Linked DNA regions of Arabidopsis thaliana. The protein of the gene in region 3 interacts with the protein of the main gene of each other region in a pairwise test. Each region holds a gene or a part of one and is shown on either strand. Other genes may lie near its edges.

The links.
Region 1: the proteins of SNRK2.4 (region 3) and ABI5 interact in binary tests that used the Arabidopsis thaliana proteins (3 or more experiments, as listed by UniProt).
Region 2: the proteins of SNRK2.4 (region 3) and UFO interact in binary tests that used the Arabidopsis thaliana proteins (3 or more experiments, as listed by UniProt).

The regions. Positions count from the first base shown.
Region 1 is NC_003071.7:15,205,665-15,209,264, forward strand, and holds the start of ABI5 (Basic-leucine zipper (bZIP) transcription factor family protein), read right to left. Parts: upstream 1,973-3,600; 5' UTR 1,697-1,972; intron 997-1,696; exon of another isoform or gene 915-996; 5' UTR 908-914; coding exon 1-907. Other genes in the region: AT2G36290 (alpha/beta-Hydrolases superfamily protein), read right to left, coding at 3,203-3,508, 3,585-3,600. UniProt on the Arabidopsis thaliana protein: Participates in ABA-regulated gene expression during seed development and subsequent vegetative stage by acting as the major mediator of ABA repression of growth.
Region 2 is NC_003070.9:11,034,164-11,037,996, reverse strand, and holds UFO (F-box family protein), read right to left. Parts: upstream 2,006-3,833; 5' UTR 1,818-2,005; coding exon 489-1,817; downstream 1-488. Other genes in the region: AT1G30960 (GTP-binding family protein), read left to right, coding at 1-71, 158-242. UniProt on the Arabidopsis thaliana protein: Component of SCF(ASK-cullin-F-box) E3 ubiquitin ligase complexes, which may mediate the ubiquitination and subsequent proteasomal degradation of target proteins. Considered as a meristem identity factor required for normal growth of the young floral meristem.
Region 3 is NC_003070.9:3,656,753-3,660,585, reverse strand, and holds the start of SNRK2.4 (Protein kinase superfamily protein), read left to right. Parts: upstream 1-1,977; 5' UTR 1,978-2,415; coding exon 2,416-2,535; intron 2,536-2,772; coding exon 2,773-2,847; intron 2,848-2,961; coding exon 2,962-3,063; intron 3,064-3,155; coding exon 3,156-3,179; intron 3,180-3,253; coding exon 3,254-3,307; intron 3,308-3,401; coding exon 3,402-3,494; intron 3,495-3,574; coding exon 3,575-3,667; intron 3,668-3,815; coding exon 3,816-3,833. Other genes in the region: TMN1 (transmembrane nine 1), read right to left, coding at 69-261, 1,175-1,264.

The DNA.
Region 1 (3,600 bases), on a different chromosome or scaffold from region 3:
CCGCTCCAAACCCAACGCCACCTCCATAGCAAACACCTGCCTGAACTGGTGGCGCCTGCTGATACCCTCCTCCTCCTGTCCTTTTAGCATAACCTGATGGGTCACCCACACCCATAGCTTGACCCGGGAATGAAGGATCACCGGTTCCTTGAAACACACCATAAAGCTGTTGCTGTGCAGCTGCGGGTATTACACTAGACGGGTTTTGGTTTTGGTTCGGGTTTGGATTAGGTTTAGGATTAGTGGGATGTTCTCTAACCACACCAGCCTTCACCAAGAAATCCTCAAGTGTCATCTCTCCAAAAGTCGGTTGTCTAGCCGCAGTCTCACCGCCGTTCTGAGCATTGTTCTGTCCATTACTACTACTACTACGTCCATTGCTGTCTCCTCCATTACCGCTACCACCACCTCTATGTATCTCAGACCAAACCTCATCAACAGTCTTCCTACAAAGCGGAGCTGGAAGTGTCAAAGAGCCTTGTCGAGGAAGACTAGACTCGTTCGCTATCCCTCTCTTATTGTTAGCATCTTCGTTGCCTCTAGAACCACCACTAAAGACACCAACACCACCCTCGCCTCCATTGTTATTGTTGTTGTTGAAACCATTGTGATTAGCCGGAACAGAATGTGAACCTGCAGCTGCTGCTGCTTGTTGTTGATTGTTATTATTCTCCTCTGCGTTCCAAATAGAGACAAGAAACTCGTCCATGTTCATGGACCCAAAGTTCTTGCCGTTCTCACATAAAGCATGTTGGAACTCGTCAAGGGTCAATGAGTAGATAGAGGATTGTCTTCCCAAAGAAGTAAACGGATGATTCTCACCACCACCTCCTCCATTATGTCTCGCTTGCGCCATGGACGACTCTACTTCTCGCTCTGACGTCAACTTCGTTTCTCTAGTTACCATTTAACAACTGCATCATATACACAACAATAACCATTTTTATATCTGTATTCACACAAACTATATTGAAATATGGATACCACCTAAACGACAATAACAATTTTGTCTCTTATATATTAAATTCATCGTATTATTTTGACCAAACTTCAGTTACTTGTCCCTGTTCAGCTATTCACGAAACTCACTTAATAGTTGTCCCTTATTCAACTATCACGAAAAAAGACAATTGAATTATTTGATAATTGATGCTCTCAAAGAATGAAATAAATTATTTTGGTAAAGTGGAGTTTAAATGACGTAAAAAATATTGAAATAACAAGAATGAAAGAAGGTAATTAAGTCGGTCCACGTGAAAATAAAGAAGAACGGTCCACATCGTGACAGCGACAAACGATACTAAAATTAGCAATAAATAAACTAATAATTTACTCTTCCAATAAAGTTTTCGTTACCAAAAGAGGAAAATATCTTAACCCACTCGTTTTCTTCTTAAAGCGAACTTATCAACACAAGATTTTTTTCCTCTTTAATCATTTATTAATACGGTTTTAAACAAAAGATAATCTAGAGCTTAACCTGATGATTAGTAAAATAAATTAATCATTAGCTTGGGTCATCATTATATCCGTCTATTACTAAGTATCACTTTACCACAAAGTTTAATATTTGGTAATACGCAGATAAGTAAGGACCAGAAAACGAAGACCTAAACTTATAAATAAAGAGATAGATTTATTTAACAGTCTTCTAATCCAAGATCTTGAAAAATTATAAAACAAGAAAAGTGTTAACCTGAAAATGAAATCTGTGTGTCTAAAAACCGGTGGCTTTGTGTTCCTCCGCCGCCGGAAAACTGAGAGAATCCGCTTCTTGTTATGGAGGTTCTCCTCCTTCACATAGTTTAAAAGCCGCCGGAGAATTTTGACTGAAAGGTTTTGAGAAAGAGAGAGATAAATGGGTAGGAGGCGGTAAAAGAGAGATTGATATTTATGTTCTCACCGTGAGAGTGTGGCGCGTGGGGTCTAAGAAGAGAGGCGTGAAGGTCAACATCTTTTGTCTAAAGTTATCTTTCGACCAATGGAATGCTAACTTAGACAGGTCCAGGTCCAGGCCCATGATCAGAGACAAAGAATCCGTTCGGCTGCGGACGACACGTGTCCTGCACGTGTCTCTCTTCTGTTTCTTGCAGTGTCTTCTCACAGGCTCGACACGTGTGACTTCGGCTACACAAATGTTTTTTTACGTCTAAAACTAGACATGATTTTCTCTCTTTTAAGCATATATAAGATAATAAGAACGTGAAATTTGGATTAGAAGAGCGAATTAAAGTGTGATCTTTTTTTACATATTGGTTCATGATTTGTTTTGTGAAATTGACGGATTAATTTGATTGATCAATACTGATTTACTTTGGTAAAAACATATTTAGGTTAGATTCAAGATGTTATGAAAGAAATAGTCAAAGTTTGTAAACACTTGTTTGTCGTTGAGCTTCTAGCTGGTGAAAGTAGACTTGTTAGATTTTGAATAGAATTACGTTTAGTGAGACAAAAACTTATTAAAGAATTAAAACAAATCAAAGTCGAGAAATTATCCTCTTCCTTTTTTACTTTTTTTTTCGAAGATATTTTATTTAACTTTGACAAAAAAAAAAAAACATGATTCCGAACTTCCATTGGGAGTGCACGTGGACTATTCACTGCATAAGGACTATCGAATTTTAAATGCTTAATTTATCAAGTGTTTCTAATAGCCAAAAAACTAAAAACAAAAATAAAAAAGATTATCCGACCTGCCGGAATCGAACCAGCGACCTAAAGATTACAGCAACTACTACAGTCTTCCGCTCTACCAACTGAGCTAAGGTCGGATTGATGCTAATTAGCCTAATGCGGTTTTATATAAACTTAACTATTAATTATCATATTGGCCTCTTTAGTTACTTTTTTCCTTTGATTGTTTTTAGACCATGCAAACACAAACACAAGTGGCCCATAATTCAATTAATACACCTAATTTTGTTCTGACACATCTCACAATTAATGGCTGTCTAAGCCTAATATTAAACTAGTTGACATTAGCCTAAAATTGGGTGATATACAGAAACAGCTTTTTGAGATGAATGCTGAGAATGTTTTACATAGGTACCAGAACTCTTTACTAATCACCCACAATATATATCAGCAACCAAGAGAAACTTGAGATTCTCATGAATCTCTCTGATCCCGGTTCAAAATATCATAGCAATGCATGTTACAAAACCAAAACTAGCCAACTTTTTGAGAGAGAAGACATCGTTTACTTCTTCACTCCATCATTGGTTAAGAGCGTTTTAACAATGTTATTAACCATACCTGGAGCAAACGGGAACAAATGCCCTGCTCCAGGAATCTCATGGTAATGGATCCATGGCAGCTTCTTCGCAATGTAACGTTGCAGAGTCACAGGGACAAGCACATCATCATCTCCCTGCCACAAGTGCACTGATCCTTCATTGTTCGGGAACAGATTCTCGAGCTCCATTGGATCGAACTCCCAAGTTCCAAATCCAACAATCATGTCACGGTGCAATGTCTCGTGTGTTCCTTGTTGCCTTATTTGTGCCTTCATAGAGACTTAGATTTGATAAATGCAAATAGGTAGGTGAAGAAAAAGAAGTCATGAAGAATGTTGTATATACCTCATGTTGGCTCCTT
Region 2 (3,833 bases), 7.4 Mb from region 3:
GAACAGCATCTCATCACTCCTAAACTTAGCCAACGCAAGATTCTTGTAGGCAAGGGCGGTTGCAAGATCGGGTAAGAGCATACAAGATCGTTCATAATTCATTCTTTTGACTAATCAATGACTCAAGGATGATCTTATGTTGATGCTAATTTTGCAGGAGGATAGGAATTGAGGCCAATGAAGAACTCAGGAGAATAATGAACCGCAAAGTTCATCTCATTCTCCAGGTTAAGCTCAAGTGAAACCATTCTCCCAAGGGTTATGTTTTTGAGTTTGATGGATTTAGGATTGGATTGTACGCAATTAGAAATCTGTCTGTATATGTTGTTGACATGTTGTCAAAGATTAGACATTTGACATTAGAAATATAAACTTACTACATACAGACAGTAATAAGATAAAAGAAACAGAATTTTGAGAAAACAACAAGCAGTCTTAACGTCAGAAGTGGAAACCACAAGTAGTCTCTTTATCTTAAAGTCTAAAAACTAACAGACTCCAGGAAATGGAAGTGTTAACTGATCAAGAAGACTAACCACCGGTGTAGTAAGCACCGGGTCATAAGCAAAACCCTGCAAGACCTCTCCGTCTGAACCGCCACCTGAGCTACCGCCACCACTGCCGGAGTAAGGACACGGTGGGACCCACAGCCAGCTTTTTCTCACTATATCAAACAGCAACTGCAACGAGGTTCCTCTTAACACAATCATTACAAACTCTTGATTTCCGACACACTCGAATCCTTTTCCACCTTCTTCTGCTGCAAACTGTGTGTAGAGCGGCTGAGGCATCCGTTCGATCTCGACCCATGTGGCGTTATCTTGTTGCAAACTCCAAAGTCGTAGGCTTTTGGGAACGTTCAACTTGCTTTTCTCAACAGCTGCTACAAGAATAAGCCTCCCTTTGCTCTCTAACAAGCTTGGAGATCTGAGAAATCTCCTCATCGGAGCTTGAATCTTGATCCACCGGTTTCCAGTAACTTCATAGGACAAAACGCTAAAAGGGCTATAGTTCATACAGTAAAACTTGCCTTGCACGTAAACCATCTTACCAGATTCCAAGCTACAAAGCCGTGGCAAAGAAGAAGTCATCGCCCAGAGGGAAAAGAATCCGCCGGCGTCGACATGGAAACTCTCCGATGAGAGGTTTTTCACAGCGTAAGGAGATATGAGATCATCTCCAGCGACAGTAACATCAATAGAGGTTGGTGTTACCGAGAGACCTATCGAAGGGAAAAGCCTTGGCCTTGATATTGGTGGCAACTGACTCACGGATCCGACAAGAGGGTTACACAAGAGAATGGTTTTAAGACCAGCTTCTTCGGAGACCCAACTCACTAACCCTCCTGATGATCCTGAAGGATAAAACCCTGAAGGGATATAAGCAAAAGAGAGACGGTACCATCGGATCTCATTAGGATCAAACAAAAAGCCTTCAGCTTTATTGGAATCATCATCGTTTGTTCCTCCTCTCTTGTAAATGTAACTCTTTAGGGTTTTGTGTTTGAAGAAGAGGAAACAGTTGTGTCGGAGAGGAAGTAGTTGTAGATATGTCTCGAGGAAGGTGTTGGAGAAAAGTAGACTGTAGAATCTCTTGCAGACGCAACGTGTCCGGAAAAACGCCGGAGGTGGAAGAAAAGCAATGACGCGGTCAAGAAGAGGAGGTGGTAGCTTGCTCCAAATCCGACCGTCCATCCATTGACCGGAGCTTGAGTCTGTGGTGGTGCTCGTTGTTGTGCTACTGTTGCTGCTACTGGTAAATGTGTAAGAGAAAGGTAAGGTTAAAGATGGGTTATTGATGAACACAGTTGAATCCATTTTAGCTGAAAAATGAAAAGATTTGGTGAAAGTGGATTTAGAGTTTATTTTCTTGTGTTGGGAATATGTGAAGGGCTTTTGAGGAGGGTTTTGGTGAAAGTTATGCAAAACCCATTGTAGGAAAAGAGGCAAAGATCATATGTAAAAGTTTTGAAGAAAGAGACAAAAGTGTTTGGTCTTTCTCTGTGAGCTTCTTGCATGGGTTTTTGATATGTTCTTGACTTCAATAGAGTAAGGTGGCATATACTTATATATAAAGAACATTTGGTATAAAACAAACAAAGGTAATGGATTTATACAAATAGAAAACATATATTATATTGAATAGAAAAAGAAATAGTGTTTCTTTATTGTTAAAAAGGTATAGTAGTAAGTAAGTAGTGACACACCAACCAAAAAAAAAATAACTCAGAAATTTATGTTTATTTTCTATCAACGTAAAAGATTATATATGTTAATGTTTTAGTTGATAGCTTAGCTTACAGACGTTTTTCTATTTGTGTGCTGACAAAAAGAGATTGGAAGTAAAAAATCAGTTGATATATGTTGTTATTTTCTAAACAGAAATAATAAAATACGTCTAAAAAACTAAACCGGTCAAGTGGCCAAGACAAGAGAAATAGGTTTAATTCCAAATAATCTAAATTTCACAAGAAAATTGGATATATATTTTTAATATTAAAGTGTGTTTCGAATATATATAACGGATGTACTTTGTTATCATACGAACCTAGAACATCAACAAGCACAAGTATCCAAAAGCCTTGTTATAACCCCAGTTTGGTGATAATTATTGACTAACAAAATTTTGTTTGTATATGTGTGTGTTTGGGTAAACGTGAAAATGGTGGCAGAGGAAGTGATGGTCTTAAAGTTGAGAGCTTCAGAGTTATCTTGTCAATGCCCAGCATCGAAATTATTAATTTGGAGACTACTCCAATACTTTTCACACTTGATCACATCTTCAAATCTTTTTTCTTTCTTTCTTTTTCCTCTCTAATTTGTAATATACAACTTTTATTACATGCACGCTTCTCAACTTCTATAATGGTCAGTCAAATTGTACTCGTGGAGATCAACCCAAGAAAACTAGAGATTATTAAGATCATTTTTTTACTTATATATTATATCAAGCCAATTAGAATTACTTTATATGTTAATATATATGTGTGTTTTATTCTAAATAAATTAGTTGGTTCTCTAATGTCATAGAAGTGCATTTATTCTAAATAATTTTGTTGGAGGAGACCACATTATCTTATTCGAACTCAACACAAAATTTGACAATATCTACTTTTTTAGTTTCTAATTATTTGATGTTTTGAGTTATTTTTACTTGTTCGACCAAAATTAATGTTTTATAAAAATATTGTTATTATTTTTGCTTGTGACTAATAATAAAAAAAGAAAAATAAAATTACTAAACTAACAAAAAAATAATTTTATAAAAATAGAAAACATATTTTTTATTAATTTCTATCTAAAATCCAAAACATCAAATAAAGAGGAACATAGTGAGTATGGTTTTAAAAGACTCCAACAATAAAACTTCCATCTAGGAAGAAAAACTGATAACATGTATAACACACAAGAATGTTATTTCTAAACATGAGAAATAGATATACACAAAATTTAATATGAATTATGATGCATTTTTGTCATGTGATCCAGTTTGTTCCTAAATTATAGCAGAAATAGCTCTTAGTTTATCCCCTTTTTTTAAAGAGTAAACAAACAAACTATATGTTAGTATGTTACCCTTATTTGATGTTGTTGCAATTTAATGTGAAACAATTCATTATATACACTATATATATATATATAGTGATTATTTTTTCTTATAAATTGTAAACTCTTTCAAACTCTAAAACCTCCAAGTCCAAGATAATGAACTTCTTGTTTAGGGAAAATAAAACTAGCTTTCATACAAATCTCAAATATATCAATTTACATCTAATTTGCAAACAAAAGAATTTTAGACATCACAAAACATTTACAACTCAATTTCTAATTAAT
Region 3 (3,833 bases):
ATAAGTACGAATGTACGATAACTGTTAACTAGTATGAAAAAGAAGCTTGTATAAGAATTGAAACGTACTCATGAATTTTATCGCAATCTCACTGTCAATCAGCTCATTTCCACCTAGAACTTCACCAAGACCACCCCATTTGTGAACATTGTTTCCAGATGGGCGGCAAAATGGAAGACTGTAATAGTTGTATGTTTCTTGTGGATTGTTATATGGGCCAACTTTGTTTACCCATAGGGTGACCTGCTCCTCGGCTTGATACTGAAAAAGGTGAAGGCAAAAAAAATTGACTTGACAGAAAAGCACAGAAATGTAAAAGTTTATGGGATTAACTAGTAAGAGAGAGTAAGAACCAAAATTCCATTAGAGAGAACAGAACAAAATGTCAAACGTAGACAGACAGATACTGATAAAGGCTACGTTCAATATCATTTCAAAAATCAGGAGTTAAAGTCTTCACACAAATGATGGTTCCATAGAAATAATGGCTCTTGAATAATGCTACCAGATTGCTCTTGAATAATGCATAACCCGCCTTTATCTATCATCTTTCACGCAGAAAATATATAGTTGGAATCGACTTTAAATGTCACACTACTTGCGAGCGTAAGAAGGCAGAGGAGCAAAAGCATTAAAGCTAGATCTCATGATCTCCAATATCACAAAAGGCAATAACAATTTTGAGCTGAAACTGACCATCAGCAAAAGAAGCCATGTGTGACACTTTCAGTATCACATTTTAGATACCAATTGAAAAAAATCATCAACCCGACCTCGGAACTATAAGATCTACATCTCGAAGATGCTAATACATTAAATGCCACTCAATTACAACACAACTCAGTGTTGATCCAAGTATTTGAACATCAAACAGGCTACCACGTGCAGAAATCAACGAGAATCTCAAACCAACATCAAAATTTCTTATTAAAATCGAGATTGTGAAAAGCCTAAATCACAATGAATAGACAAAATACGCCTAGACTTGCAACGAAAAGATACGCCTAAATCACAATGAATAGAAGCTCGAGGATCCTAGCAATCCGTAAACGAACAGATCCATGAAAAAAAATTCAATCGCAAACACCATGCAAATCACGGATCTACGGACACAGTGCTCGATTTCGAGCTGCATTAAAAGAAAAGAAAAAACGACTGGAGATCCGAGTCTTACCTTGTGATCTGAATCGGATGCGAACGTAGGAGTGAGAAGGGAAACGAGAAGAAGGAACACGAGGACGGCGGCGGAGGAGGAAGACGGCATCGTGAAAACCGGCGGACGATCAGATCTGAGGAAGGACGGAGCGAGAGATACCAATCGAGAGAGAGCGAGATCCTCAGCTCAGTGTTTTCACTTTGTAGAGATTTTGGGTAATACAAAAACAACGATAAGGCTTACAACTTCTTTTTTGCTCTATTAATTAATTGGGCTTGTAGTACTAAGAAACGTATATTAAGTTTAAAACCCATATAAGGTCTTTTAATGTTTGCTCTATTAATTGATTGGGCCTTTCGTTCTAACAAGTGTATATTAGTTTAGCGGCCCATATAAGGTCTATTAATGTTTTCATATACGCGCACGAACTATGTCATTTCAATTAAAATATACACTCACACATGGGAACATAACTTCTTCTTTTTTTGTATATATGTTGAAAAATGTTAAAAGTAGATGAAAATCATGACATAAATTCATTAAAAGGTTACGTTTGAGTGACAATCTTCATAGAGAAAAATGTGATTTATGGACAATGACTCTCTCTATATAGAACCAAAAGAATCTAAGGCGAATTTGCTTGCTGCTGACCACTCGTGTCGTGTAAATAGTGTATAGTTGAAGTGTTGAATTAGGGAGAAAAAAAGCGCGTTGGTGACAAAAAAAAACGTAGTTATACACTCGAATCAGCAAGGGAAACAAACATGTATGGATCGCATGGAAACTTGTGGGTCCCTCTTTCTTTTAAAAAATCTCGTATTAATTAAATAAATGGAAAAAAAAACATGATGGGAGTTTGTTTAGGCAGGGGAGATTCTTCTTCATTCTCATCATTATTTCTCTATTAATTTCACCCCAAAAAAGAAAAAAGAAAAATTCCAACAAGAAAAAAAAAAGAAAAAGAAAGTTGATTCTTCGCTTAGGCTTGAAATCTCTCCAATCCAAATCTCAAATTAACCTTCCATCGTCATCTCTTTCCCTTTTTTTTTCCCACTTTCTTTGCGAATCGCGAGATCTCGGAATCGCATCCTTGATTTTGGGATACTGTTTTTTTTTTTTTTAATCTTGTTTCATTTTCACGTGAAATTCTTAGCTGCTAGAACTGGACTTGAATTTCAACGAGAATTTTGGAGATTTTTTTTTTGTTTGGGTTTTTCCTTTCTGTTTTGTGTGTTTGGAATTAGGGTTGTCGAGCGAGAATGGACAAGTACGAGCTGGTGAAAGACATAGGTGCTGGGAATTTTGGAGTTGCCAGGCTCATGAAGGTCAAAAACTCTAAGGAACTTGTTGCCATGAAGTACATCGAGCGTGGTCCTAAGGTATATTCCTCTCTGTTTTTGTGTTTTCATTGCTCTCCATGAGCTGGTGATCCTATACCCAGATATGCATAATTGGAATGAATTGCTATTAAGCAGAAGAGTCGATTTTTTTTTGTAAATTTCTTATCGTTAGCTGATTGGGTGTTTAACGTAACGTTAGTTATCTTGTAGTTGTAATATTTTTCCTGAAAAGATTTGTACAATGAGTATTTGCTTTGTTTGTTTTTTTTGATACAGATTGATGAGAATGTGGCAAGAGAGATCATTAATCACAGATCACTTCGCCATCCGAATATAATCCGGTTCAAGGAGGTTAGTGAATTTCTTGTTGCTTGACATGGGTGGTGTTCTTGCTATGAAAAAGTTTGTTGATAATCTCTTATATCTTTCATCTTGCATTCCTTGTTGGGTTTATGGATTTTATAGGTGGTGTTGACTCCAACCCATCTTGCCATTGCCATGGAATATGCTGCTGGTGGTGAACTATTCGAGCGTATATGCAGTGCTGGAAGATTTAGTGAGGATGAGGTGAGCTTGCCATTTGAAAAATTGTGCTGTGCTTTTGCGAATATGAAATTACTAGTATTTAGGATAATCTGCATGGTCTTTGGAAAGATTAGGAGGAAGGGAACAAGAGAAAACATGTGAACCTCCTTTTATTTAGTATCAGGCATTAAACAGTTAGGGTCTACGTTCTAATCCTTTCTCTCTTTTCCAGGCGAGATATTTCTTCCAGCAGCTTATATCAGGTGTTAGCTATTGCCATGCTATGGTAATGTAGAGACAATGACTTAAGCAAAATTTACTTATCCATTGGCTGTTTGAAGTCGTTTTTTTTTAATCATGTGTTGACTATTTTGTTGCAGCAAATATGCCATAGAGATCTGAAGCTCGAGAATACGCTCTTGGATGGAAGTCCTGCTCCACGTCTGAAAATCTGTGATTTTGGTTATTCCAAGGTCTGACACTAAAAAAAAATCCAAGTTCCCCCCTTGTCGACGAGATCCTCTTTTGTGATTTGTTATTCTCTTTTTTTTAGTCCTCTCTGCTGCACTCTAGGCCCAAATCAACAGTTGGAACTCCAGCATATATTGCACCTGAGGTCCTTTCTCGAAGAGAATATGATGGCAAGGTAATCAAGCATCATGCACAATGCAATGAACTTCCATAAACCCATGAGTATTTATGATATTGTCATGCTCTTTACATTTTTACTTTTGAATTTAAAAAGTCATCTTTGTGGAAGTCGCTAAGATTTGAAGCATTTTTTCTTCTTTCAGATGGCTGATGTATGGTCT